4 linked regions of the Diceros bicornis minor genome follow. The protein of the gene in region 1 interacts with the protein of each later gene in a pairwise test. Links are inferred from orthologs where the notes say so. Each region holds a gene or a part of one and is shown in the gene's direction. Other genes may lie near its edges.

Region 1 (7,310 bases):
GCTCAGCAAGCTAAGAGGGCAGCTTTGCTTAAGGCTGGGGTTTTGGTGACCTTCTGAGAGGTGAGCTCTTTGATTTGGAAGGGAGAGCTGATTTAGGAGCCTCTACTTGGAATGTGTTTGTTTCCTTTAGAGATATGGTCAGACATAACTGGGTTGCCAGGCCTAAATGCCCTGTGGCCCAGGAAATAAATTTGGATACTTTTCTAAACCACTTTTAGGTACTGGTCCCTCTGCAACTCAGCCATTAATTTAAAAATTAATTTTGTGCCTCTATTTTAAAAAGTCAAGTGAGGGACCAGAAGTGTAGTACAGATGGCTTTCTTCTCTCCCAACAGAGGAACAGAAGCCAGAGCTGAGGGCAGGAGCCAGGAGTTGGTCCAGGAGCGGCAGGGGGTGATAGAATAGGACCAGGGTGGGAGTAAGGTTTGGTACCCCTCACTCTCTAAGTGGGAGCCCACGGAGAGGGACTGAAAGGAACGCGGGGGTGGAAAGGAATGAAGTGTTTCTGCTTCCTGGGGATGCAGAGATTGGGGCATGCTGTGTCTCTGCAGAAGCTCCTAGTCGTTTCTGCCTCTGCTGTTAGCATGAGCGAGAGGCAGCCCTCCCACAGTATTTTTACCTTCCCACATCACTTCCCTGAATCCCCTTCCTTTCCCCCACCCAGTACAGTTAAACCTCTCTAATTTGGAATGTTATGTTTGAGAAGATGGCCACTCTGAATAAGTGACAAAACTGAATGACTGTGTCTATTTAATGAAATGCATGTCTTCAAAATATATACAGTAAGTAGAACTCAATGAACAAGGCTTTTCCACTTGAGGCCCTCAGGGAGCATGCGTTAATGAATACACAGGCCTGAAAAGTCTGTTTTCTGGTATAGGTTAAATATTCTCTCCCACAGGCACATTTCCACTATTAATTTGCTTAGCACACCCTTTCTTCACAGATAAAGGAAAACTCAAGCCCAGTTTTTGTTCAAATTATGAAAAAATTCCAAATCCATGGGGGTTTGGATTAATGAGGTTTTGCTGTACTGCCTCCCCTTGTTCCCTCAACACAAAGCTCCTACCTCGGATTGGGGGTGGGCTGGGAGGGGGTTCCAAGAGGAGGAGGGTGGGCTGGGCGCAGGAAGATAACAAGGGTTAGGTTGGGGGTGAGGTGGGAACTTGATTCTTTTGAACTGGTTTCCTGGTGTGAGTGACTCCCTGGGTTGAAGGCCCCTGTTAGGAGTCTGGGGTGAGATTCTCTTCTCTCTGATCCCAGAAGATGAGGATCTTTCTACGGCAGGTGAGAAAGAAAATAGGAAGGTGGGGGAGGGGGTGGATCTGGGGGGAGGGGGTGGACACAATTTATGGAGTGGGCTGGCTATGGGGGAGACCACTGCTAGGGGGCTGGCACCCAGGCCCCCGCGAAGCGTCTCAATAAGTCCGCGCTCTCCTCTTTGGTGTCTTGCAGGAGAGGCAGCTTCCCCCCTTGGGTCCAACAAACCCGCGTGTGACGCTGGCCCCACCTTGGAACGGCCTGGCCCCCCCAGCCCCGCCCCCCCCACCCCGGCTGCAGATCACCGAGAACGGCGAGTTCCGAAACACCGCAGACCACTAGCCCACCCAGCATCACAGACCTTGTTCTCCCTCCCCATGCACCCCACCCTGGAACAGCACCAACCACCAGGAATGGACGTCGCCGAGGGACAGCGGGATTGCCTCCCTGAATGCCTCCTTGGGGGGCACCAATCCCCCACCCCCACTGCACCATTTCCAGGAGGGAGAACGGGGACCCTTAGCTGCCCCCTTTTCTTCCTGTTGGGGTGCTGCCCCGTGACCCCTAAGGACCCTTGCCCCAGGACACCACCTACCCCACACAGACCCCTTCACTCCGGGGTGCTATCCCCATCCTCTGCCTCATCGTTCCCCTGAGCACTGGGGGACAGACCCTCGCCCCCACCCTGGGGGTGTGGCACCTCCAAACTTTCAACTTCAGGGTGATTTTTTTAGCAGTAACCAGAGCTGACAATCTAACTCCCCTCCACCGCCCCATTTTGGCCTCCCCCTGTCCCCGTTGTTATGGGGAGGGGACCCCAGGTGAGGGGGCCCTATTACCCCTTGATTTCTCAGGAGCGTCTGGGGGGGCTCAGCACGCACAAACTCCTTCTCCTCTACCACTCTTAAATTTACTCCCTTCCCACCCAGAACCCAGATGGGGTGGAGGGGCCACCGGGGCAGGGAGGGGGCGGCAAGGGGGGAATGGGAGTTATCTCCCGTTCCTCCCACACCTGATCTGCTCTTGGCTGGTCCCAGAGCGGGGTGAGGGGGCTTATGCCCCCCCCTCCCCCAGTGTGTTGGGTGGGGTGGAATTGAGGTTAGGGTGAAGGGTTAGGGTTTAGGAGGGTGTGTATGTTGGGGAGGACAGACTAGTTGATCTGCCCTCCCCTGACACACACAGTCCCCCCTGCCCCTCCCCTCTCTCTTCTTGGTCTCTACTCCCAGGGGGAGAGGGGAACTTACTCTAGGAAAAGCCATGTCTCTCTCCCCCAGGGTGGGGGGACCTGTGTTGGAGAAGGGGTGTTGGGGGCCCCCTTCCATGACTCTGTCCCCCGGGGGGAGGTAGGACAGGGCTGGGCTTCCCTCTCATCCTCCCCCCTCCTCAATCTCCCTCCACCTCCCTCCCTCCCGCCAGCTCCACAATTTTTCGGTGTTTCTCTGTATATAGCTCTCTGGCGGGATAGGGGAGGTAGGATGGATGGGGTTTGGGGTGGGTACGTCATGGGAGGGGAAAAGCCCCTCCTTGGCACCCCCTCTTCCCTGACTGCTGTCCCCTACCCAGCCTTGCCCCCTCATCCCTTCTTGCGTTTGGTATTGAGACTCTTCCCAGACTCCACCCTTCTTTCTTTTGTATGGACAGTTCCCCTTCAGTCCCATCCCCCTACACACATACACCCAGCCGGGGCCAAATTTATACTTATATAAAAGTTGTAAATATGTGATATTTTATCCCTGTGCCCTGTCCTTGCTTTCCCAACCTCAGACCCTACCCCTGGACCCCTTTTCCTCCTCTCTTCTTTGGCTGTTGTAATTATCTGGGGTTTGTACTGTACATATCCGGGGTGTGTGTGTGTGGGCTGGGGGCAACCCCTCTGTACAGAGCTTCCTGGCCCCCTCCCCTCCACGCTTCCCTCTTCACCCACCCCCCCTAAGGGTAGGGAGATGCTCTTCCTACCTGTTTTATTTTGTTTTCTCGTTCTCCCTCCCCACCCCACCCCACTCCCACCCTTCTCTTGTCCCGCACCATTGCCCCTTTTTCTCCACTCCCAGCCCCATTTCCTTTTTTTCTGGAGTGTGTGGTGAAACAGAAAAATCATGTTTAATAAACGGAGATTGTTCTTTTATCGCTGTGCTGACATTCCTAGGCTGGGACCTCCAGATGGACCAGCAGGGTGATAGGATCTGCTTTTTGAGAGGAAGCTGATAGCCTGGGAGAAACTGTATATCCCTGTGTGATGCTATAGTCTCCCCCTAGAATCTAATCTCCCCTAGAATCACTCTCCCACCCAGCCAGGAGATTCATTCTGTTTTAGAACAGGGCTTTTGCACTGGCCAAACGCGCCCGCTCCAGCTCTGCCTTCACCACTGCTCCACTTAACCCCAAGGAGTAAAAGGGTCTAGGAACAAGCAGCGGCATCTGATAAAAGAATCGATGTATATGTCTACATGTATCATTTTAAAAAAAAAATTACCTAGAAATAAGGTTTGTTTAATTGCTGGTTAAAATGCTCCCGTGCGGAATGGAGGAAAGAACTTGGTTCCTTAGCAAATCTGGGTTCCAATCGTAGGAGGCCCACCGCTTGCCAGCCTCGGTTTCGCCCGAGGAAACAGGATGGCAGCACCTACCTCGCGGGGCGGGGGGTGGGCACAGGGTGATGTGGACAACGCCTAGCCCACACAGTAGGTGCCCATTTAATCTCGCCCTCTCAGCACCGACCGGGGGGCGGGCGCTACGTTTAATCGCCGGAATGACTCCCGGCCACCCCGTCCGCCCTGCCTGTGCTCTCCGGGGTCGCACTTCGCCCCTCCCGCCGGGGCGACCACCCGACCCCCCGCCGCGGGGGCCGGCGGCCTCCAGCCAGCACCGCCTTCTCGCCGGCGCAACCAATCAACATGAGACTTGTAGGCCTCCGCTCCCCTCCATTGGCTGCGGCCCCAGCTCCGCCCGCCGCGCCCGGCGACGGCGTCCGGCGAGGAGGCGGCGGCTTCCGGCCCGGGACGGCGCCGTGGCTGCCGAGGCGCCACGGTCTCGCCGCGTGCCTACCCGCGGGGGAGTGGCAGCGGGGAGGGCCGGCTGGCCGGCGCTCGCGCTCTCCCGGTGGGCGCGGCTTCCCGGGAGCCGGGCTCTTTAGGCGCCGTGAGGTTGAACGGGGCGGCGGGCAGGGCCGGCGAGGTCAGGCTCGTGGCTGAAGCACCGCCTCATCCTCCTCCGCCGTCCTGGAAGTGAAAACCCCGGTTGGTGTCTTGTCGCGGGTGGTGGTTTTTGTTTTCTCGGTGGAGGCGTGCGCGGGACTGATCGGCAGAAACCGCCGCTGACTGACAAGTTTCCAGCTGTCGGGGGTAGGGGAGGCGGGGGTAGTGTGAGGAGACACGGTTCCCGTTAGCCAGAGCTTCTGTGACCCCCATCTCTTTCCTCCACAGCCTTCATCCCACGTGGGGCCGGCCCCAGCCCCTCATCTCCTGCTCTCGATCCTCTGGGGTCTCTCTTTCCCAGGAGGCCATGGATGCCTCGACGCCTTTGCCTCCCGTACCCCCCTCCCCGAGCTGCAACCCAGCCCCACGGACGATCCAGATCGAGTTCCCTCAGCACAGCTCGTTGCTGCTGGAAGCCCTGAACCGCCACAGGCTGGAGGGAAAGTTCTGTGATGTGTCGCTCCTAGTGCAGGGCCGGGAACTTAGGGCTCACAAAGCAGTGCTGGCCGCTGCCTCTCCTTACTTCCATGACAAACTTCTTCTGGGGGACGCGCCGCGCCTCACTCTGCCCAGCGTCATTGAGGCTGATGCTTTCGAGGGGCTGCTCCAGCTCATTTATTCAGGGCGCCTGCGCCTGCCGCTGGACGCTCTCCCTGCCCACCTCCTTGTGGCCAGTGGCCTCCAGATGTGGCAAGTCGTAGATCAGTGCTCAGAGATTCTTAGAGAACTCGAAACCTCAGGTGGGATTTCAACCCGTGGGTCGACCGCTTGCCACGCGCCTCTTGCCACCACATCCTCTGCAGGAGCCTGGTGCATTCGCTCTTCCCCTTTCCAGACCCCAGTGCCGTCTTCCGCTTCTACCGAGAGTCCTGTTGGAGGGGATGAGAGTGAACTGGGAGATGTGTTACAGATTCAAGTTGAGGAAGAGGAGGAGGAGGAAGAAGAAGAAGAGGAGGAGGAGGAGGAGGACCAGGGCTCAGCAGCCCCCTCTCAGACTCCTCAACCTCAGAGAGTGTCAGGGGGTTTTCCCCGCCCTCATGGATCCCACCCACTGCCCCTTTCCACTGCTCCCCGCAGACTTCCAGATGGTGAGAGTGCACCCCTTGAGCCTCCTGCCCCTCATACTGCACTGCCCCCCAAAATCTTTTACATTAAGCAGGAACCCTTTGAGCCTAAGGAGGAGATACCAGGAGGTGGAACTCAGTCTGGAGGAGCAAAGGAGGAGACCACAGTATTTGCTGGAGGGGACGCAGAAGGGAATGGGGGGCTAGGGTTCTTGCTGCCCTCAGGAGCAGGGGCAACATCTGGAGGAGGGAGTTCATCTTGGAAACCAGTGGATCTTCACGGGAATGAAATCCTGTCAGGAGGTGGGGGACCTGGGGGAGCGGGGCAGGCCGTGCACGGGCCTGTGAAGCTAGGAGGGGCACCCCCTGCAGATGGAAAACGCTTTGGTTGCTTGTGTGGGAAGCGGTTTGCAGTGAAGCCAAAGCGTGACCGGCACATCATGCTGACCTTCAGCCTTCGGCCCTTTGGCTGTGGCATCTGCAACAAGCGCTTCAAGCTGAAGCACCATCTGACAGAGCACATGAAGACCCATGCCGGAGCCCTGCACGCGTGTCCCCACTGTGGCCGTCGGTTCCGAGTTCATGCCTGTTTCCTTCGCCACCGGGACCTCTGCAAGGGCCAGGGCTGGGCCACTGCTCACTGGACTTACAAGTGACTGTGGAGGCCAAAACTAACTTCCAGTACACGAGAGCCACTGCTGCTGACGGATCCTTACCCTCGCTACCATGGCACCCCAATCCTGGATCTTGTAATCATGCCAAGAGGATAGATGCATTATGGACCTCTTGCTCTTGGGTGTGGGCCTCAACCTAGCAGATTTGGAAACTCAGATTTCTTGTCTCACCCCCGGTTTTTGCTAACAATCCTACAAGAAAGTGGTTTACAGGCCATAAGTAAATTGATCGCTTGCCCATAATAGACCTTTTCCTACAGGAAACCAGATTTCAGATTAGAAGTTTTATTTGATGAGAGAAGAGTTAGAACAAAAAGACATAGTGATAAATGTTTCATTCGAACTCCATGAGATGGTCAAGGAGCTAGTCTCCATCTAGGGATTTGTTTGGTTCAGAGTTCTAGTAATTCAGAGACTAAGCTCTAAGTTTTTCCACTCCCTCATCATTGCTGAAATAATGTGAGCAGAGTTCTCTTTATGTACTTTTTTTGTTGTATCTTTCTAGAAGCCCCTCAGATCATAACTTGCTTTCTCACCAGTAGATACCTTCCCAACACCTTTATTTTTTATGTTGTAGTTGAGCACTTTAACAAATTGAGCATTCCACATGACATTCCTAGAATCCTCTTTAATAGAGGGTTTTCCCTCAACAGCTTGTGCCTCTTGTCTACCTTTGACCACCACTGATCACTCATATATTGATCACAGTTACTGGAATATGACCAGTGAACTCAGGAGATGGCAACTGACCTAAAATGCTCTCAGGGTAGCACCACTGCTCTGAACAAGTGGCCGTGGTCAGAGGGACTCAGGGCTGAGACAGGGCATGCTGAAGGCTGAAGAGTAACTGTGCGGTGGGACCACACTGCCTCCCTTTCCATCCCCACCTACACAGGACAGCCCCTTGGTTGAGAGGTAGAAGGGTAGATATTGGAATGGGGAGATTATCACAGGTTACTTAATTTCTTAAAATAAACTGTCCTGAAATCCAAGTTGACAGTGGACTGATGAGTAATTTATGTGGGAGGGACAACATGAGAACAGAATTGCAAAGACTTGGATGTGATCTGTATGCAGCTGGGTTATGTTGGGGGGAGAATGGGATAGTTTCACACTGG
Region 2 (7,197 bases), on another chromosome or scaffold:
CTAACCTAGGACATCTCTCAAATTTATGTCTATGTAGCCTCTTTCTAAATAGGGCTAATTTGTCAGAAAAGCTGAAAAAGATTATCATTAGCAAACAAAATAGTCTCTTTTCAGTAAAATGATATGCGGGAAATTAGGAGAAAGAGCTGGGAAAGTATAAAGGTGAACTATAGCCTAACTGCTCTTGCAACACAAAATGAAATTGGATGCTGGAGAATGCCAGAGATGTCATAAAAGGTGCTTCTGCTGTGGAGAAGGGACATTTCATGCATGTTTTTCAGTCCAGAAGTTGACAGAGATGACACATATAGTGAAAAAACTATTTGAAAATCTAAAGTGATAAGCAGAGCTTACTGAAAAGCTGAGAGGTTGAAACATGGGAGATAGCAGTGAATGGATTCTCAGTTTGATTTTTGGCTGCATTCAGCCCAGATTTGGTTGCAGCATATGGGCATGATCTTTAAATATGCTCAATAATACATCATTAATCTCCAACATTTCAACCAGTGAAGATTATCAAGATGTGACTGAGTCATTTTTGCCACAGTTGGGTCCGCTTTAGGATTATCTGCTGGCTTATCTTCATCATTAAGATACTGAATATACGTGTGTGTGTGTGTGTGTGTATTGTATCTCCAAGGCTCGACACTTGAGCAAGCCACTTGAAATTATAGAGATTGTCATTATTGATATTCTTGGTATAGTGAAGAAATTATGTCCCGTCTCTTATCTCAAACACTTATATGAGCAACTTTTCTCCTCAAATGTCAGCCAACTTCACTGTGGAAGAGTGTTCTCATTGCCCATTTCTTCACTGTATTAGTGAGGACAGGTTAAAATTCTTTAACAAACAGACCCAAATTTCTTTCTTTCTCCTGTAATAGTCCATGTTGGTTCTAGCCAGCAGGGCAGTTCTCCTCCACAAAATCATTTGGGAAGTCATTTCTTCTGTCTGTGGCTGTATCCTTCTCTGGGCCTTGTGCCCATTTGTATCCCACAGTGAAAGGGGAAAGGACATGGAAAAGAACGTGTGAGAGATTTTATCCCTCCAGCAGGTAAGCAATATTTTTCATTTGCTCCAGAAAAACCTGATTGGTTTACCAGAGAAGTCAGCTATGATGGCTATCTGCCATTATCGAATGAAGTTTCCCAACACATCACCACGTTTAGATAGTCATCTCTGTTCTCTGTTCTTATTGTGAGCACATATTTTGATGTTCTGGCACACAAAAGTTCTATATTTACATTCTTTTATTTTTCTTTTCAACAATAATGAGCCACTTCTGATCAACTGATCTATTTGTGTGAATTGCAACACAACGACAACAATGAAAATGACATAGTTAACAAGCAAAAGCAGTAACATGCAAATGATGTGGAAGTACATTAGCCGGGAGGAATGGCATCCTGTTAAGTTGCGCTTATTGAGACACATTAGATGAGAAGACGACAGTTCGTCGCAATGACAAAGAGACTGTCACGTGGTCAAGCAGCAGCATGGCGGCACCTGCCAAGTTGGCTTTGCCACAGCTCCATAGATTCAGTCCATAAGGAGCCAAAATAGATTTAGTTTATTATCTACACGGCAAAAGAAAGATCAGCATGGTGTCAGCTCTCTGTGTCTGTAGTTCCACAGGATGACACCAAACAGGAGGGGCTAGATGACGGATCACAGGAACCTTGGGCCCCTCTGTTGGTGAGGAGCAGGGCTGGGTCAGCACCTGTAGGAAACTGAGAGTGAGTGCCTTCTTAAATTTTGCCCACTAGGTGCCTCGCTTGCTTACCCTAGTCCCTGCCCTGTGGAGGAGCCAACACTCAACTACTGTCAAGCAGTTATATAGATTTTCACAGAAATTTGCAGCTGTACCTAAGGTTGGAGCGGGGGCGCAAGGCAGAAAGTTCTGCCTTTTACTAAAACTAGGGAGATAGGTGAGAAATGACCTGTGGTCAACTCCTCCACGAGAGAGATGAGAAACTGCCTCAAAACGTTTCCACGCCACGCTGATCTCCCCTTGCTCCAGGAGGAATTTCAGGCCTTTCAGAGCTGTTAGCCTTGCCTACATAGACTTTGTGGAGATGTTCAAAGTCACTAGGATGCCACAGAGTTGTTCCCCCAGAGACCAGTATCTGAAATAAGAAGACAAAACTGAATGTATTGCTTCCTATAGTAAGGGAAAGCTGTGTTCGTCATGCACGGTCTCTACAAGCAGAGCAGACTGCTGATCTTACATTGAGTTTTTGGGTACGGTGGCATTCACGGACTGGCAAATTTTCAGAGTCATGAGAGATTGCTATCACCTGTAAGAAGCTGGTTGTTGATGTTGGTGCTCAGAGACATGCGTACTGGGCTGTGTGTGATTGGCTGGCTGTCAGAGTCAGGGCTGTTCTTGATAGGTGGTCCTTGATGGATTGGGTGGGTTCTGACTGCTATTTGTTTCCAGGGCTTCAGGGCAATTGGTATTTTCCTAGAAGTCAGACCTCTTTTTTTTTTTTTGGTGAGGAAGATCGGCCCTGAGCTAACATCCCCTGCCAATCTTCCTTTTTTTGCTGAGGAAGATCGTCCCTGAACTAACATCTGTGCCCATCTTCCTCTATTTTGTATATGGGACACCGCCACAGCATGGCTTGATGAGTGGTGCGTATGTCCATGCCGGGGATCCGAACCTGTGAACCCTAGGCTGCCGAAGCAGAGCACGTGAACTTAACCACTACTCCCCCAGGCCGGCCCCACAATCTCTTTTTATTTCTGATGGTGCTCAGGGCAAGCTACCCCAGGAGGCACCACTCTGGTATGCGGATTATTTCGAGCTGAAGACAATAAGGACTCAGAGAATTCAGGAAGAATATTTGAGTTTCCCCTCCCAAACTGCCTAAAGAATTTAAAACAAAAGATCTGTTTCAGGAAGGAGTTATTATCATGATTGCTGTAAAGATAATGTAGGATAGAAGTTACAATAGGAAAGGCACCAAGCCTCTTTTATCAAAAACTCTGTCTCTCCCTGACCACATTATCTATAGATGACCCTGAAAAGAATTGTCTTCCTGGCCTCTGAAGTCCCAGACCACTACCCACCCCCAACACGTTCCTCACCTTTAGCTGCAATACTTAAGCAAGCAGCTTAGACAGAGGGACGAGTTGCTCATTTTTGAGTTTCTCCCATGTATACATGTTATTAAACTTGGTATTATTTTCTGCTGCTAACCTATCTTGTTGATTATTTGGCCAGCCATAAGAACCTTAAGGAAAAGGGCAGAGGGAGATTCTCCCTCTCTCCCGACAGTTTCGAGAGGTAAAAGAATATCTATGAAAATAGCCTTTAATCACTGCTAAAATTTGTGAAACATCAGTGAACAAAATCACTCCATTGTTTTTTTTCTCTGAAACTTCCAAACTGCCTTCTGGCCACTTGATGGCTGTGGAGACCACTAGGGGCCAATTACATCTAGAAAAACCTTGTCCCAGCCTGAACTTTTGGAGTGAAGGGGCTAGGCCTTATTTATCTTTAGTCTCTTGCCTACCTTAGCACATAATAGGTACTCAATTCATGAATGAAATGTTAGGATTCACAATCCTTAGGAATGGCAGAAGAAGAAAAAAATAGGATTAGGCAGACAAGAAACTCACAGGTTTCATTAGGTTACTGTAGGACTGTTCTGTAAAAATTTGGTTGATGTCAGTACCATACCTATTTAGGTGAAATGCATGATGTGTGTATTTTATGTGTTCCAGGTGTGTGTCATATCACATAATTGTCAGGACCCCAGATATCTGACCCTGTTAAGAAGGATCATGAGGATGAAATCTGTGATGAGGACAGCTCCACCAACTTAGTGAACCTAGAACTCGTTCAGAGAAGCCAGCCCCCTGGGCCAGGGGGTTGCAAACCTCAACTTCCTGGCAATTCCACCCGTTTTCCATCGTCTTCCCTGATCTACTTTGTAACGGGAGCAGGATGGGAGCCAAGAAAGAGAAACGGAAGACAAGGGTTTGCAGAGCGCGGGGCTGGGGTCCGGAAAAGGGGGAGGGCTGGGTCGGAGGATGGGCGTCGGTGCCCGGGAGCGGCGGGGCGGCGGGAGGTGGCGCCGGGCTCGCATTGGCCCAGCGGGCGCCCCTCCTCGCGGGGCCGGCCCGGCGCGCCGAGAAAAGGAGCATTGCCCTGGGGCGGGAGGCGGAGGCGACCTCGGCGACAGAGGAGACATGGCTGAGTATACGCGGCTGCAGAACTGCCTGGCGCTGATCCGCCTCCGAAACCCGCCGGTCAACGCGATCAGGTAACGGGCTCGGTGGCCTCCAGCCCCGGGACAGCAGGGCCTTAGCCGTCTGCCCGCTGTGGTGGCTTTGACTCTCCTCTGCTGGTTTAAACGGAGAGAGGCACTAACACAGGTTGAACAACGGCATATGCCTTTTACGTAGGTTAGCTTGGTTCATGTTCGCAGAGAACTCGCATCCCGGTTTCACTGGTAAGAAACCGAGGCTGAGAGGTGGACAGAGGGCCACAAAGTTGGGGAGCTGGCCTTGAACCGGGTCTGTCCATGCCTTGCAACTTTGACTTCTCACCCGTACTTTCTATTCCAAAGGTCTAAGCGCAGTGCTGGCTAGACCTTGATCTCTCCCTTGCCAACTTGGAGTCCAGGCCACCCTTACAATGTGTAACTAAAAGCTCTAGGAATCCAACAATAAAGTGACTTCACATTCTTAAAAATAAATTAAGGTCTCCATTAATGCCAACTCAGTGAAGTAAAGGAGAATTGTGTCCTGGCCCAGAAAAGCACAGTTCTATCTCTTGATCTGTCTAAACCTCGGGGCCTTAGTGCTTCAGTGCTTGGAAGATCCAAGTCAGAGTAAGCCTATTAAATAACATTTTCTGAAAAACTGCTGTGCGGTTTATCTTCTTTTATTTTATCGTGGAGCACCTTCCTTGTTAAACTCTCTAACCCAGATTTGTGCAGTGCACTTAAGCAGTACTTTTAAAAGGGAGATTAATGCTGCTTTTTTGAAAATTAGCATAGGTTTGGTTCTTTCATATCTCTGAAAAAAGTATAGTGATACATCAGCCTAGTAGAGAGCCACCCCATCCCTAGGGAGTAGGATTAGCAGAATTTATGAAGAATATATAAAGTATGGAGAGAAAGACCTTTGCTCAAAATTCTTATTGCCTGCTGCTGGAGCAAAAAGGGACTGAACGAGGAGACCTGCTCATTTTAACTGAATTTTTTTCCTACTGTCATCAGATTTGATTATATCATTAGTATTAATATTATAATTCTTATCTTTGACATGAATTATTACATTTAATAATACAAAAAATATGCAAGAGTAAAATCACACAACGATGATATGTCTGCCTACTTGCCATTCTCAGAAAAAGGCAAAATAGCCATTATTTTGGTTTTGACCAAAAAAACCCATAAGCAATATGATTACATATCAATTTTAGACTTGTCTGTATTCTAATTAGAATGACTAGATACTAGGACTGTCTGCCTCAGCCTCTGCTCACAATGGGAAACCATGCCCATCAAGAATTTGGGGGAAAAATGTTCCACAGTGTAATACCTGTAACAAGGAATATTTTCTCATAGCTATTTTAAATATTTCAAGTATTTAACCTGCCCGCTTGCCCCCTGGAGAAATGTTAGTATGTACCTGATAAAGTTGTTGTGAGGTTTAAATGTGTTGGAGGAGGATGGGCGAAATGGCTGAAGGGGGTCAACTGTATGGTGATGGATGGTGACTGGACTTGCGGTGGTGATCACTTTGTAGTGTATGCAGATGTTGAATTATGAAGCTGTACAACTGCAACTTATACAATAAAAATACATAAATAAATGTGTTGGAGATTATAAACAGGCATTTAACAGATGTTAGCTATCATGATTTTTATTAGTCAGAGGCCTGTTATAAGCCCCTACCAACAGGCCCTGCTGCCCAGGATTCGTTTCAGCTTCATCAAGATTTTCTCCACTTGGGCATAAATACTTTTCTGCCCTTTCTCATCTATCTTCTTTTGAACTTATATTTTAGGTAGAGCTGTACATCCCAGCATGTTTATCAAGTTTAACAGGTTCCCTTTTTTTTGTGCTTTATATTTTTCTTTACTTCTTCTCTTTCTTTTCCCCTTCCTATTTCTAATTTTCTGTGGGAAATTATCTCTTCTTAGCTCACTGAGACATTCTTTTTTGAATACTTTTTGGCCCAAATAGTTTAAATCCTTCTCTGCTAGTTTAGCCAGCCATGTTTCCTTCCATTCAGATGAATGCCAACCCTCTTTACAAGTATAGGGCATGCCTGATTCCTAGGCCTGTCTCTCAGAACAATGGCTCTCCCACTTTTTTTTAACTGTAATCCACACAGTCAAAAACCCTGTTTTGTGTAGCAACCTAAGACACACAGACAAATACACAACTGAAAACAGTTTTGTGAGACAAAACTTGTCCTTATATGTTATATAATTTGATATATTCTATTTTCTCTTTTTCTGTATTTCTTGGTTTAAAAAAATGGTGGTCATAGCCATAAAGTTGATTTGACGACCTTTGGTTTAAAAAAAAAACCTAAAAAAAAAAGACCTCCTACAGTCACAGAAGCTAAAGAGTTTTGGTCAGCACTCATGAAATGTTATCTATTCCAGACTCCCCTTCTCCATACCTGACAATATTAAGGGGAGAAAATAATTTCTTGACCCCTGTGACCTTGACACTGCTCCTAGGCTGTGGTCTCTTTCAGGAGGCTTGAATCTAGTAAAGCTGTGTCTGTTACAGCCATCTTCATTTTTCTTTATTTCTTGTGTTTGATTTTTGCAAAATTGAAAGAACATAAGAAATAAAAGAGTAGGGGTTGGTTGAAATGGGAAAAGCCAAGCTCTTCTCCTCAGTGGCACTGTTTGAGCTCATTTTGGCTAATTTTGCAGCCATCATTTACCCAGAAGGAAATATGTGCCTTTTGTTGCTTTTGTTTTGTTTTCTTCTTCTTTTGTTTTTGTTTTCTTCTTCTTTTTTTTTCCTCCCCAAAGCCCCAGAACGTGGTTGTACATCCTAGTTGTAAGTCGTTCTAGTTCTTCTGTATGAGCCACTGCCACAGCATGGCTACTGACAGACCGGTGGTGTGGTTCTGTGACCCGGAACTGAACCCGGGCCACTGAAGTGGTGAGTGCCAAACTTGAACCATGAGGCCATCAGGGGTGGCTCAAATATGTG
Region 3 (8,008 bases), on another chromosome or scaffold:
GCAATTAGGCAATAAAAAGAAACAAAAGGTATCTAAATTGGAAAGGAAGAAGTGAAAATCTTGCTGTTTACGGATGACATGATATTATATATAGAATACCCTAAAGAATCCACCAGAAAACTATAAGAAATAATCAGCAACTATAGCAAAGTTGCAGGGTACAAAATCAACATACAAAAATCAGTCGCATCTCTATACACTAATAACGAACTTGCAGAAAGAGAAGTCAAGAATACAATCCTGTTTACAATCTCAACAAAAAGAATAAAATATCTAGGAATAAATTTAACCAATGAGGTGAAAACCTATACACTGAAAACTATAAGACATTATTGAAAGAAATTGAAGATGACATAAAGAAATGGAAAGATATTCCACTCACATGGATTGGAAGAATAAACATAGTTAAAATGTCCATATTACCTAAAGCAATCTACAGATTCAATGCAATCCCTATCAGTATCCCAATGACAGTTTTCATGGAAATAGACCAAAGAATCCTAAAATTCATATGGAACAACAAAAGACCCTGAATAGCTAAAGCAATCCTGAGAAAAAAGAACAAAGCTGGAGGCATCACAATCCCTGACTTTAAAATATACTGCAAAGCTATAGTAATCAAAACAGCATGGTACTGCCACAAAAACAGACACACAGATCAATGGAACAGAATTTAAAGCCCAGAAATAAAACCACACATCTATGGACAGCTAATCTTTGATAAAGGAGACAAGAACATACAATTGAGAAAGGAAAGTCTCTTCAATAAATGGTGTTGGGAAAACTGGACAACCACATACAAAAGAATGAAAATAGACCATTATCTTACACCATACACAAAATTTAACTCAAAATGGATTAAAGACTTGAGTGTAAGACCTGAAACCCTAAAACTCTTAGAAGAAAATATAGGCAGTACACTCTTTGACATCAGTCTTAGCAGCATCTTTTCGAATACCCTGTCTACTCAGGCATGGGAAACAAAGGAAAAATAAACAAATGGGACTACATCAGACTAAAGGGCTTCTGCAAGGCAAAGGAAACCATGCACAAAACGAAAAGACAACCCACCAACTGGGAGAAAATACTTGCAAATCATATATCTGACAAGGGATTAATTTAAAGAAGATATACAGATGGCCAAAAGGCACATGAAATGATGCTCAACATTACTAATTATTAGGGAAATGCAAATCATAACCACAATGACATATCACCTTAAACCTGATAGAATGGCTATAATTACCCAGACAAAAAATAACAAATTTTGGAGAGGGTGTGGAGAATAGGGAACCCTCATACACTGCTGGTGGTATTACAAACTAGTGCAGCCACTATGGAAAACAGTATGGAGATTTCTCAAAAAATTAAAAATAGAAATACCATATGATCCAGCTATCCCACTATTGGGTATTTATCCAAAGAACAAGAAAACACTAATTTGAAAAGATACGCGCACTCCTATGTTCATTGGGGCATTATTCACAATACCCCAGACATGGAAGTAACACAAGTGCCCATCAACAGATGAATGGATAAAGAAGATATGGTATATATACAATGGAATAGTACTCAGCCATAAAAGAAGACAAAATCATCCTATTTGTAACAACATGGATGGACCTTGAGTGTATGATGTTAAGCAAAATAAGCTAGACAGAGAAAGACAAATACTGCATGATTTCACTCATATGTGTAAGATAAACAAACACATGAATAAAGAGAATAGATTAGTGGTTACCAGAGGGGTAACGATGCACTCTATACCAAAATTGATAAATAATAATATACACCTGAAATTACAGAATGCTATAAACTATAAATAAACTGTCAATAAAAATAATTGAAAAAAAAAGAAACTCTGTACCCATTACGAGTCACACCCCATTTCCCCCCTCCCCAAGCCCTGGGCAGCCATTAATCTATTTTCTGTCTCTATAGATTTTCCTATTCTGTACATTTCATATAAATGGTTTCATACGATATGTGGTCTTTTTTGACTGGTTGGTAGTGATGTCACCTCTTTCGTTCGTGATTTCGGTAATTGTTCTTCTCTCTTTTTTACTTAGTTGATCTAGCTAAAAGTTTGTCAATTTTGTTGATCTTTTCAAATAACTGATTTTTGGTTGCACTGATTTTCTCTATTGTTTTTTTTCCCTTATTTATTTTATTGAGGTCACACTGGTTTATAACCTTATGTAAATTTCAGGTGCCCATTGTTGTATTTTGGCTTCTGTATAGACTGCATCGTGTTCACCATAAAAAGTCTAGCTTCCATCTGTCACTGTACACATGTGACCCTTTACCCCTTTCACCCTCCCCCCCACCCCTTCCCCTTGGATAACCACCAATCTGTTCTCCATATGGAGTGTTTGTTTAACTTATAGATATGAATGAAGTCATATGGTAATTGTCTTTCTCATCTGACATTTCATTTAGCATAATACCCTCAATGTCTGTCCATGTTGTTGCAAATGGCATGATTTTGTCTTTTTTATGGCTCAGTAGTATTCCATTATACATATATATATATATATATATATATATATGTATATATATACACACACACACAGCACATCTTATCCATTGATGGGCACTTGGATTGCTTCCACATGTTGGCTATTGTGAATAATGCCACAATGAACATAGGGGTATGCATAGCTTTTCAAATTAGTGTTTTCTTGTTCTTTGGATAAATACCCAGAAGTGGAATATTTGGATCATATAGTATTTCTATTTTTAATTTTTTGAGAAGTCTGTATACTGTTTTTCACAGTGGCTACACCAATTTATATTCCCACCAGCAGTGTACAGGGTTCCTTTTTCTCCACATCTTCTTCAACACTTGTTATTTCTTGTCTTTTTAATAATAGCCATTCTGAATGGGTATGAGGTGATATGTCATTGTAGTTTTTATTTGCATTTCCCTAACAACTGTGATGTTGAATATTTTTTCATGTGCCTGTTGGCCATCTGTATATCTTCTTTGGAAAAATGTCTGTTCAGATCCTCTGCCCATTTTTTTGATCGAGTTGTTCTTTTTTTGTTCTTGAGTTGTATGAATTCTTTATATATTTTGGATATTAACCCCTTATCAGATATATAATTTGCAAATATTTTCTCCCAGTTGGTGGGTTGTTTTTTCACTTTGTTCATGGGTTCCTTTGCTGCACAGAAGCTTTTTAGTTTGATGTAGTCTCCTTTGTTTATTTTTTCTTTTGTTTCCCTTGCCTCAGAGAACATGATATTCAAAAACATCCTGCAAGTGGCCGGCCTGGTGGCATAGTGGTTAAGTTAATGTGCTCCGCTTCGGTGGCCCCCAGCGTTCTCAGGTTCGGATCCCCGGTGCGGACTGATGCACCGCCTGTCAAGCCATGCTGTGGTGGCGTCCCAAATGAAGTAGAGGAAGATGGGCATGGATGTTATCCCAGTGCCCATCTTCCTCAGCAAAAAGAGGAGGATTGGCAACAGATGTTAGTTCAGGGCTAATCTTACTCACAAAAAACAAACAACCCAAAAAATCAAAAACCTCCTGCTAAGACTGATGTCAAAGAGTGTACTTGCCTATGCTTTCTTCTGGGATTTTTATGGTTTCAGGTCTTAGATTCAAGTCTTTAATCCATTTTGAGTTAATTTTTGTGTATGGTGTAAGAAAATAGTCTACTTTCATTCTCTTGCATGTGACTGTCCAGTTTTCCCAGCACCATTTATTGAAGAGACTTTCCTTTCTCCATTGTATGTTCTTTGCTCCTTTCTCAAAAATTTGCTGTCCCTAAATGTTTGGGTTTATTTCTGGGCTCTCAATTCTGTTCCATTGATTTGTGTCTATTTTTCTGGCAGTACAATGTATACAGCTTTTTAGTATATTTTGAAGTGAGGGAGTGTGATAGCTCCAACTTTGTTCTTTTTCTCAGGATTGCTTTGGTCTGTATTGTTTTCCTGTTTTCTATTCCATTTATTTCCTCCCCAATCTTTATTATTTCCTTCCTTCTGCTTGCTTTGGTGGAGGTTAGGTTATTAATATGAGATCTTTCTTCTTTTTTAATATGTGTTTGTAGCTATAAAATTCCCTTTAAGCATTGCTTTAGCTGCATCTCATAAATTTTGGTGTGCTGTGCCTTCCTTTTCGTTCATTTCAAGATGTTTTCTAATTTCTCTTGTGATTTTTTTCTTTGACCCATTTGTTATTTAGAAATGTGTTCATTTCCACATATTTTGAATGTCATAAATTTCTCTCTGTTGTTGATTTCTAATTTCACTCCATTGTTGCCAGAGAACATACTTTGTATGACTTCAGTCTTTTTAACTGTTTGCAGCCTGCTTTATGACACAGTATATGGTCTGTTCATGTTCCATGTGCACTTAAGAAAATTATGTATTCTGCTGTTGTCAGGTGCATTGTTCTATAGATGTTAGGATGCTTTTTTGAAATGCAGAATTTTAGGTTATGCTCTCTGAGGTTGATTCCTCTGTCCCAGAGTCGAATCTGTATTTTTTTCTTTTGTGAGGAACATCAGCCCTGAGCTAACATCCATGCCAAACCTCCTCTTTTTTTTTTTTTTTGCTGAGGAAGACTGGCCCTGGGCTAACATCCGTGCCCATCTTCCTCCACTTTATATGGGACGCCGCCACAGCATGGCTTGACAAGCGCTGCCTTGGTGCGCGCCCGGGATCGGAACCCGGGCCGCCAGCAGCGGAGTCCGCACACTTAACTGCTATGCCACGGGGCCGGCCCCCGGAATCTGTATCTTTAATAAGTTCCTCACATCTTTTCCGCACAGTTTCCACAGGTCCAGAACCCATGACCCCAGCTTCCTCCACTCCTTTGATTTAATTGTTAAATGTGCCTAACTGGGGTGGTGTCATCGATTGCTCTGACAGACTTTTCTATTGCTCTAGTCTTGCTGCCCAGTCAGTGGAAAGGTGAATCTGCGTTCTCAGGCTCGGCTTCCGACTCATTCTGCCTGGGCCGTACTCAGTAGGGATTGGGCTGCCTGGGCGTCACGTGGTCTGCGGCCGCATGATGGCGGATGCTGGAGAAGACTCCAGAGCGCTCTTCCGGGCTGGCGTCCGCGCGGCGCTGGAGGCCTGGCCGGCCTTGCAGGTGAGTGGAGCCGCGGCCAGGATAAAGGTTAGGGCCTGGGGCAGAACAGGAGTTGGCCGGGCGAGGCGCCTGAGGTTTGGCTGGGCGGCGTAAGCGGCGAACCCCTACGCCACCCCAAGCCGGCTCCCAGGCTGACGTTGTGGGCTTTGACCTGTGTTTGTAGATCGCTGTGGAGAATGGCTTTGGGGGCGTGCACAGCCAGGAGAAGGCTGAGTGGCTGGGGGTTGCAGTGGAGGAGTACTTTTTCCGCAATGGTGAGTGAATATGAGGGGCTGCGACCTGTCTGTGTGGGAGTGTGGGGAGGAGGCCGGTCCTGGGGAGCCCGCACTTCCTCTTGAGCAATTGTCGCCTGGGACCTGAGGGCGAGGTGGAGTGAATAGAGGCTTTAGTCAGAATCCTGAGTTCGGATGCCTTACGGGCTGTGCCGTTGACTCATGGTATAACTCCGGACAAGTCATTTTACCTTCCTGAGACTCAGTTTTCTAATTCCTAAAATGGGTAGAAAAGTATCCACCCCATTGGTGTCCAATAGGAATATAATGCGAGTCACATCATGTAATTTAAAAATTTTCAGCAGCCACTTTTGTAAAGTAAAAAGCAGATGAAATTAATGTTATTTAACTCGATATATCCAAAATATTTCAACATTTAATCAATATAATGTTATTAAGATATTTTACATCCTTTTTTAGCATTGCGTTTTAAAAATCTGGTGAGTATTTTATAGTTTTAGCACATCTCAATTTGGCCTAGCCACATTTTAAGTGCTCAGTAACCACGTTTGGCTATTTGCACAGCAAAGATCTACACCTTTGCTGTGTCTTGGGGGTCATATAAGAATAAGGGGTCCTGCAGAGGGCATTTTGCGTGCTATGATGTTTACAAAATTCTTCATTCAGTTTTTTAGCTTGGAGATGATATTAGGCAGAGTCCTTTCTTTCAAGCAAGTTTAACCATCTAGTGAGGGATCCAGATAAGTAAGTAGGCATGTACACACGGTGTGATATATGTTCTAATAAAGAGGAGCTCAGCGTGCTTGGGTAACATGAGAGTAGGAAGGAGATTTCTTTTGGAAATTGTTAGGGGAGGTGGTGATTGGGCTGAGTCTTAAGGGATGAGAAGAAGTTAACTAGGTGGAGGAGGCAGAGAGAGCAACACTCAAATACTTTAAGTTCTGTGCTATGAGGAGATTATGTGTGACATTTGGAAAATTGGCAGGGAGCTCAGTATTGGAGTAATGGTGAGTGTATGCTTGTGGGTTTGTGGAGGGGAGGAATGATAGAGAATGAAGCTGCAGGGTGGAGAGGCCCCCGGAAAAGGGTAAGACGTTGGAAGGCCTTATGTGCCTTTGATTTTGTCGTTTAGGCCAGCGTTTGCCAAAATGTATGCTATGGAAGACTAGTTCCATTAGATGTTCGGTGAAGAAAAAACTTCTCCGGTCAAGTTATGTAAGAAAAGCTCTTTTCTTCAGCTCCTACTTGAGTTAAAGGTTTGGATAAGGATAAAAATCACTAAAAAGAAAGCTGTTTGCCTTTGTTTCACATTAGCTTTCTGTGGATACCTTCCCTTTAAACCCAACAGGACAGTTATTTCTCAAAAGCAGAATGTGAAACACTGCAGTAGGTGATAAAAATTCATGGGTGGGTTCTAAGGTGAGTAATAGGATGGGATTTGCTGGCTAGAAAGTTGAAAAAGTAATCAGTATGGAGCATAGACTGGAGAGGAAAAGACCGATGAGAAGGCTGTTTCTGTCTGGAAAATGATGAGGCCTGAACTAGGGCAGTGGCAAAAGCCATGGAAAAGAAGGAGTGGATTAGGGCTTTGGAGATTGTTTGGCTGTAGAGGGGGAGGGAAAAGTAGGCAGGTTTCTGGTTTGTATCATCAGGTGGATTAGGTGTCTTTCATGGAATAAAGGAAACCTGGAGAGTGAGAAGTAGGTTTGGAGGGTTAGGTCATGAGTCTGGCTTTGGATATGGAGGTTCTGAGGCACCTGTGAAACAGGGGGAGAGTAGTTTGGGTTGGAGACAGATTTGGGGGATATTAGGTTAGAGTGGTAGGGAAAGCCAAGGGGGTGAATGAGCTCTCCCAGAGGGGGGAGAGAGAGAGAGGAACTTTGTGGAAGACTTTCTTGAGTTATTCTGTAATTCAGAAAAAGTAGAGCATAAGGTAACTGAAGCCTAGAGAGGAAGGCTGGAAGGCTCAGCCAAAGTCACACAATAGGATGTTGGTGTCAAGGCTATGATGATTTCATCATTGCAGGTACTTACATCCATTTCTTCTTACCGATCCCATTGGTTTGTGGCCTCCTGTATCAGTGGAGCCACAGTTGTGAAGGGTCTCTACACTTCAAAAACTTCAGCTCTTGAGTGATGGGAATTAACATGGATTATGGGTCTCCCCTGTGCTATGCATTGTTTGGATGACTCCTTATAACAGACCTTCAAGGAGGCCACTATTAGCCCCACTTGGCAGAGGAGAAACTGAGGCAGAGATGAATATGTAACTTGCTCAAGGTCACATAGAGAGGAAGCTGGTTAAAATAGGCCAGATGAAAGAGGGTGAGTGTGGCTGGGATGCTGTGGGAATAGGGAGCTTAGTAGGATGCAGGAAATTGGAAATCAGGTATTTATATTTAGTGTTGTTTTTTTTTTTTTAAATCATGTTAAAACTTGGAATGCAGAGCACTTCAGCAAATAAAAGGCCCACTGTTTGGACCTTTACCCACCAATCAGATGTGGACCCACCAAGTAGGTACTGAAGAGTAGTGGTCAGGAGTGATGAAGTTGGCTGGTCTTTGACCATAGGGCCCTGTCCTTTCCTACTCAGCTGACTTGGAGCTAGATGAGGTGGAGGACTTCCTCGGGGAGCTCATGACGAATGAGTTTGATACAGTTGTGGAGGATG
Region 4 (7,038 bases), on another chromosome or scaffold:
AGGATCCGAACCGACGAACCCCGGGCCGCCGCAGTGGAGCGCGCGCACTTAACTGCTTGTGCCACCAGGCCAGCCCCTTAACAGATTTTTAAGTATACAATACAATATTGTTAACTAGAGGCACAATGCTGTATAGCAGATCTCTAGAACTTATTCATCTTCCACAAGTGAAACTTGATCCCATTGATTAGCAACTCCCCATTTCTCTCCCCTCATCCCTGGCACCCACCATTCTACTCTCTGCTTCTATGAGTTTGATGGCTTTAGATAGCTCATATAAGTGGAATCATGCCGTATTTGTCCTTCTATGATTGGCTTATTTCACTTAGCATAATATCCCATGTTGTTGCATATTGCAAGATTTCCTTCTTTTTTAAGGCTGAATAATACTCCATTGTGTGTATGTATTCTTGACTCCCTATAAAATCTTCCCCACAGCAGTGTGGGTGATGATTTCAAATCCCTCTGCTTCAAACTGTCCAATGGTTGGCTTTTCATCCATTTAGAATAAAATCCAACCTCCTTACCTTGGCCTACAAGGCCCTTTTCAGCCCTGGCTACTTGGCTCCAGCTCTCTTGAATCTCTCTCTCCTTGTCTACCTTCTTCCAGCCATTCTGTCCCTGGGGCCTTTGCAGTAACCATTTCCTCTACCTGGAATGCCCCCCCCCGCCCCCCCAACCCCCGCCCCACAGATGGCCAAATGGCTGTTTCTTTCATGTCATTCAGGTCTTAACTGTAAAATCTCCTGCACAGAAAGGTCTTCCATGGTTATCCAACCTGAAATAGCCCCCCTGAACCTTTCTAACACATCATCTTTTTTTAATTCTAAACATCTCTGGTATCACTACTGGGCATTTCCCTGTTTATTCGTTTGTGCATTTGTTTCTAGTGTGTCTTCACTAGATTTCAAAGTCAGTGAGAGTGAGAACCGTTGTGTCTTTCTACTGAAAGTATGTTCTGCACCTAAAGTAGGGCACATAGTAGTTACTCCATAAAAAGAGAGAGTATAGCCACACTAGAGAGTATAGCCAGGGAAGGTCTCTCAGTAGAGATATCTTTTTAGCTGGTGTTTGTATTCTTTTTACAGAGACCAGGAGAAAGGATTCTCTCCATTCAGTTGTGCAAGAGGTTGTTCTCTGACTTCTTAGGGTAAAGAGATGGGTGGGATTTGGATAAAGAGTTGAGCCAAGAAAAGGCAGATTTGTACCCAAATTCACGTTTTCAAAATGCCATATCTTCAGTTGGTCTTTTTCTTTTATTCCTTCTTATTAGTAAATTCAGTATCATCTAGCAAGAAGGGACTGATTTTGAACAATTTTCAGTATGAAAAAAATTTAAGATTGCTGTAAAATGAATTTGCCAAAACCTTGCCACCAGAGGGGGTATAGCTCAGTGGTAGAGCATTTGACTGCAGATCAAGAGGTCCCCGGTTCAAATCCGGGTGCCCCCTCTCCTACCTTTACGTTTTTCCCAACCACTTTCGCATAACCCAGAGTAACCAGAATGTCTGCGGATTCCGAATCCAAAACTCTGTGGAAGATCCGCTCAGGTGTAACTCAGAATAACCCGGATGTCTGCGGGTTCTGAATCCAAAACTCCCGGGAAGATCTTGTCTCTTCCACCCGCCCAGTTTTCCTCATTCAAATGTTCCCGGTACCTGAGAAGTAGAGAGCAACACCCCAGAGTTTGCACAGGGATCACTTGACTGCGTCTAAACTGTACACCCCGACTCTGGCGAAAAGCCCACCTGCGCTCTCAATAGGTAGAGAGAAGGTGCCGAACTACCGTATTCCTATCTCCAAGAGTTCCAGATCTATTGATTTAATGTTAATTACAGCTTCTTTTTGGGTAAAAATGGAGTGCCGGGGCAGGGGAATATTATTTTGCCCAGTTCATACTCTGACCGGGAAGACTAGAACAAAAGTTCAGAAGATTTATATAGACGGGAAGTTTGTAACAGTACACAGCACAGATAAAAGACGGTGAAAAGTGGACAGCTTTCTTCTTTATACTAGCTCGACGGCAGGGCTTTGGCCTGATAAACCTAAACCTGCAGTATAAGTTGAAGGCCTGGTGTCCAGGAAAGGAGTGAAAAGCTGGTTATTTCTCGGGTCTGGGCTTTGCACCGGACAGCAGCTCTGCTCAATCTCCATGTCCAGCCTCACGATGCATTTCACAGTAACGGGAGCCGTGGTTTGGAAAAAACGCGCTCGAGTATTCCCCTGGGGCGCCGAGGGATGACACAACCAGATTCCGGGTTTAAAATATCGCAGCGGCCCCCTGACCTAGGCGGCATGCCTTTCCCTTTCTCCTTTATTTTTCCTTTTTTTGGGCAAAACCGTTGAGGCGGACGCCTTTGCTCCCTTCACACTTACCGTTTTCCTCTCGTCCAACAGTGACACTGTCAGTCACGCAGCCAACAGATATCTGTCCCCACCTTGAGGTTATGAAACTGGATGGGCGTGTATTACTAGTTCAGTGGTTCTCCAAGAGTGGTCCCCTGACCAGCAGCATCAGTGTCACCTGGGAATTTGTTAGAAATGCAAAATTCTCAGAGTCCCACTCCAGGCCTACAGAATCAGAAACTGGGGGTGTTTTCACAAGTTCCCCAGGTAATTCTGATGCACGCTCAAGTTTGAGAACCACTACATTAGTTTATATCAGTTTGCATCAGGATCTAACTTTAATTTTGTAAATTAAAATGAGCTTATATGTGTGCATTGGCCATTTTAACGTTCTCGAAGTGCTTTCACTCCGCCTGTGTCATGAGCAATAGGGAAGGGTGAACACAGCACGTCCATGTCACCGGTAATAAAGAAAGTTGAAGTTGGAGAAAGGCTGTGTCTGTGGGTTTCCCTCTCTTGACCCACTCCCAACCCCGTTGGAAACGGAACGCCAACTTGGGGGAGTCATTTTGTCCCTTGAACCCGGCGCCTCGAACTGCCTCACACATCTGAGGCTGCTGGCGGTGGCCGCAGAAATCCTGACACCTCTGGCGCAGGTAATGGCGACGGGCAGCTTTTGTACCTGATTTGTGCGCGTACCCGCCCCTCCCCCTTCTGCTGGGTATAAAGCAAAATCGAAAGCTTCCGCTAAAGTTGGAAAATGAGGAAGGGATTCTTTTAAAAATTGTCTTTCTGTTTTCTTTTAACCTAGGAGCTATTGTTAAAATGCTAGGTATAGAAGAAAGGAAAAACTACAAAGGGGGCACCCGGATTTGAACCGGGGACCTCTTGATCTGCAGTCAAATGCTCTACCACTGAGCTATACCCCCTCGCCGCTCCTGCACCTGGAGACGGCTCTTTTGGGTGTTGAGACACTGCTACACTGAGGGTGAGGTGTAAGGGTAAGGAGAAAAGAATGAAGGAGGAAACGAGGCCAAGCGGAAAGAAGGATCCGGGGAACCCCGGGAAAGCAGCACGGCGGAGGCGCGGGAAAGAAAGAAGTATCCCGGGCTGCGAGGCGCTGAGTACAGGCGGGAGGGACGGTTCCGCCCTACAAATGTGGGAAAGGATGTGGGGGGAAGGGCAGCTGAGGGGCGGGGCAGGGGGTTCCCGTTCGGTCCGCAGGTTCACACTAGTTACCGACGGGTACAAAGGAAAGTCCTCGAATCTGGTCGGGGGTTCTGGAGGGTTCCAGCCCCACCCTCGACGGGTGTGTAGGGTTTGCCCGCCTCCCGCAGCCCAGGGGACCCAGATGGGCGGCCAGACCGGCTCCACGCCACCTCCAGAGCGGGAAGGGCCCTGGGCAGAGCCGGCTGCCTGCGCCTGGCTTCCGGGCGCCCCTCTCCAAGTCACCTTCTGCTTGAAAGCGTGCGGGCGCAGGGGCCCTCCAACGCACCTAGGCGCGCACCCCCAGCCCCGCAGCCCTCCCCGGAATCCGCCCCCGCGCAGCCCCACGTCGCCCGGGGAGCGCGCCTCGCCGCGCGCGCCCCTGCCCGCGCCCGCGCCCGCGGCGCGTCCCCGCCCCGGTGCAGCCCCTCCTCCCCGCTGTGTTTATTAGGGGAAGGAGGGCGGAGGCGGAGGCCAGTTCCCTAGCTCCAGCCGCGGTCGTCGCCGCCTGTGTAGTTGCAGGCGCGGCCGCCTCCCGCCAGCTCGCTCCGGGGAAAGAGAACGCGCGCGAGCTCGGGCGTCCCCGCCCCAGCCTTTCCTGGAGCCATGAATCCCAACTGCGCCCGGTGCGGCAAGATCGTGTACCCCACGGAGAAGGTGAACTGTCTGGATAAGGTGAGCCCCGGGACCGGGAGACGCGTTTTTGCAATCCCTGAGCAGGGTTCCAGATTGGAGGAGGAGAGAGGGGCCGGGTCTATGCCGCCTTATCCTCGCGATCCCGGGAGGAGGGAAGGAGGGCGGTGTCATGGGGTGTGGGGACAGACCCCAGTCTGGAAACCAGGAGATCCGAAGCGAGGCAAGGAGTCCACGCGTGGCAGGCAGCCACTACTGGAGAAGAGTGGGCTCTGCCCCGGGGTTGGGAGGACGGAAGAGGAGTGGGAAGCCAGGCCCCGGGGTGGGGGGTGGGGGAAGGTTAGGGGTGCAGTCCCGCCCCCGTAGGGCCGGGAGAGTGAGAAGAGACGGCCGCTCCCTCTCCCCGCCGCGCCGAGCGCCAAGTAGGCGGAAGCGCCGGGCGCTGGGGGAGGGGGCGGCGGGGGGCGGGGCAGAGGTTGGGGGACCGAGCGAAACCGTCTGCTGTGGCCCTGAATGGCCCGGCTTCCTGGCCTGGAGACTGGGGGGCGGGGGCTATCAGCCGGCAAGCGTTGCAACTGGTGAACTGAGCTTCAGATAAGGACCCGAGCCCCACTGCGAGACCCCTTTTTTTGGACGACCTGCAGCTCCCTTAGTGGTTCATCGGTTAATGGACTAGCCGACCTCCTCCATAGCTTCCCAGCCCCCACCTCAGATTAGAAGCCAACTCCCGGTGCCCGGCCGCCCAGCTGGAGCGGGGCGGGGTCGGGTGCTGGAGTAGGGTGGGTGGGGGGTGCTTCGCAGAGATCTCCTGAAATTGTGCTCAGAGCCTGAGACCGGCTTGTGGAACAAAGAGCTAACTTTTTAAAGCAGGTTTCCCCAATGGAGGGTGGTATTGGCCGAGTTCAGGGGAAGCCAAGAAAAGGGGGAGGTGTTTGGGGGGAGGGGAGGGTGGATTTTTGAAATTCACTGTACCCTGGGGGCCCTTACGCGTCGCCCCCCCCCCCCCACGCTGGACTCGTTCATCTGGTTGCCATTATACTTTTGGAGGGGGGCGGAGAGTTAGAACTGGGTGTTTCCAGCAGTTTGGGGTAGGATGCAGTCCTCTTGTAAGCTCCCTAAGATCCTGAGGCGAATCTGCCTCCCCTCTGCATCTCCCCCCCAGTCTGGAGGAGAGGCCTCTGTGATTGTCCCCCTCCTCGTCGTGCCTTTCTCCCACCTCCCAAAGCTGGCTCTAAGTCCAGATATTCCCTCCTTTGCATCTGAACTGGCAGGGGTAGGGGGCATGGGATGGAAGAGGGGTGCAGAGCCCTGGGGCCAAGTTCACTGCCCACCTGGAGCCAGGTTTTGTTTTGGAAAGGACAGTTCATTGGATACTTTTTGTCTCTCCCCTCCCCCTTGGTTTTGGAGCTTCCTTAGTGACCTTTGGCCTCTGAGTCAGGGTGAGGGGGTGGTGTTCTAAGGTTCTGAAATACATTTGAACTTGGTCTTGAAGGAAGGAGGCATATGGGGCTGCCGCTGTTTCACTGCTGTCTCTCTTGGGCTTGGCTGGGTTGGAGGAGAGGAGGGCCATATTGTGGACACAAGGGATGTGGGTGCTGACCTTCCCAATGACCGTGCCAGCCTCTGGAGGGCAGGACTTCAGCTTGGAGGCGCTAGCTGAAGAACTATCTGTCCTTGCACACTGGGTTTTTTGCCCTTCTCTGGTGGTAGGGATTTTGACTTCTGCATCTTGAGTTCCCTGTGCCCACCTTCTTCTCCACAGTCATGAGTTGGGAAGAGGCTGTGGGCACTTTCACCCAGATAAGGCGGGAACAATATATGATGGAGGCATTGCTAGCCCAGGAGTTGGGAGACTTTGTCCTAGTTCCAGGTCTGCTCCCCCAGCTTTATGAATGGCCCTAGGCCTCAGTATTCGCCATCTGGGTATGGTGATGTCACTTCCTTGGAGGTGGGGGAGTGCACTAAAGTGCCTACCTAAGTGCCCAGAAGTGGGTGTGGCATAGCCTGTGCCTTCCTACCTTCCTGGGATACTCTGTCCACACCTGGCTCCCCTTGTAAGGACCTTTGGTGCTGCGTGTCAGAGGGGAGGGGGGCAGGGATCCTGCAAGGTGCCCTCCCCCAGTTGTTCTCTTGTCCTAGCTGGAAGAGGACATTCAGTGGGGGTTGCCCTGGGAAGTGGGAGTTGGTGGTTCCTCCTTCTTTTTAGAGCTCTCCCTACAGGAGTTGGCCCTGGGAAGACCTTGACCCCTGCCCTGAGCAGGAGGCCTGGAATATCCAGATATCAGACTATTGGTTCCAACCTCCTCCAGGCAGTAAGGACAGGCACCTGGACCGGGAACTGGTGTCTGGAGGACTGAGACCTGGGGGGGCGGGGGCATACAAGTCCCCAAGGCTTCCCGTTTACATTAAGAGAGAGTCAAATTAGACTCACTCATTTCACTACAATTTCCCTACAGCCTGTAGCCCGCTCACCATGTGACCCAGAGCACAAGCTGTGTCCTTGGTGTTAGCCTTTTCTCCTCCCTGAGCCTTATCTCCCAAAGGCTTAGGTGGGTAAAGGCCATGTCACCTCTGATGGCCACCCTGCCCCCAACCTGCATTACCCAGTGTGCTCTGCATGCTGAATAAATATGTATTGCTGATGACGGTGTTGGGGGAAGGAGGTTGAGATTTGCTTCCCTAGAGGACTCTGGGATTAGAGTTGGGGGAGAAACAGGGTGACCTCATTCCCTCATTCATTTGGCAAATATTTATTGAGCCCCTACTCTGTGCCAAGCCCCCAGCAGGGCTGCTGCAGGGCCTTTGGGAAGGGAGAGAGGCTGTCTCAGAATGTCCTCTACATTTTGAGAGAGG

Evidence for each region.
Region 2: the proteins of ZBTB9 (region 1) and EHHADH interact in binary tests that used the Homo sapiens proteins (3 or more experiments, as listed by UniProt). The two-hybrid records come from large-scale screens. The link is inferred for Diceros bicornis minor from reciprocal best matches to the Homo sapiens genes ZBTB9 and EHHADH.
Region 3: the proteins of ZBTB9 (region 1) and TSR2 interact in binary tests that used the Homo sapiens proteins (3 or more experiments, as listed by UniProt). The two-hybrid records come from large-scale screens. The link is inferred for Diceros bicornis minor from reciprocal best matches to the Homo sapiens genes ZBTB9 and TSR2.
Region 4: the proteins of ZBTB9 (region 1) and LASP1 interact in binary tests that used the Homo sapiens proteins (3 or more experiments, as listed by UniProt). The two-hybrid records come from large-scale screens. The link is inferred for Diceros bicornis minor from reciprocal best matches to the Homo sapiens genes ZBTB9 and LASP1.

What each region holds. Positions count from the first base shown.
Region 1 is NC_080753.1:31,037,382-31,044,691, reverse strand, and holds ZBTB9 (zinc finger and BTB domain-containing protein 9), read left to right. Parts: upstream 1-4,290; 5' UTR 4,291-4,496; intron 4,497-4,682; 5' UTR 4,683-4,761; coding exon 4,762-6,174; 3' UTR 6,175-7,189; downstream 7,190-7,310. Other genes in the region: SYNGAP1 (ras/Rap GTPase-activating protein SynGAP), read left to right, coding at 1,456-1,602. UniProt on the Homo sapiens protein: May be involved in transcriptional regulation.
Region 2 is NC_080754.1:38,515,241-38,522,437, forward strand, and holds the start of EHHADH (peroxisomal bifunctional enzyme), read left to right. Parts: upstream 1-4,182; 5' UTR 4,183-4,198; coding exon 4,199-4,272; intron 4,273-7,197. UniProt on the Homo sapiens protein: Peroxisomal trifunctional enzyme possessing 2-enoyl-CoA hydratase, 3-hydroxyacyl-CoA dehydrogenase, and delta 3, delta 2-enoyl-CoA isomerase activities. Catalyzes two of the four reactions of the long chain fatty acids peroxisomal beta-oxidation pathway.
Region 3 is NC_080781.1:45,615,543-45,623,550, reverse strand, and holds the start of TSR2 (pre-rRNA-processing protein TSR2 homolog), read left to right. Parts: upstream 1-5,005; 5' UTR 5,006-5,020; coding exon of another isoform or gene 5,021-5,030; coding exon 5,031-5,104; intron 5,105-5,267; coding exon 5,268-5,358; intron 5,359-7,908; coding exon 7,909-8,008. UniProt on the Homo sapiens protein: May be involved in 20S pre-rRNA processing.
Region 4 is NC_080757.1:38,784,820-38,791,857, forward strand, and holds the start of LASP1 (LIM and SH3 domain protein 1), read left to right. Parts: upstream 1-4,020; 5' UTR 4,021-4,158; coding exon 4,159-4,227; intron 4,228-7,038. UniProt on the Homo sapiens protein: Plays an important role in the regulation of dynamic actin-based, cytoskeletal activities.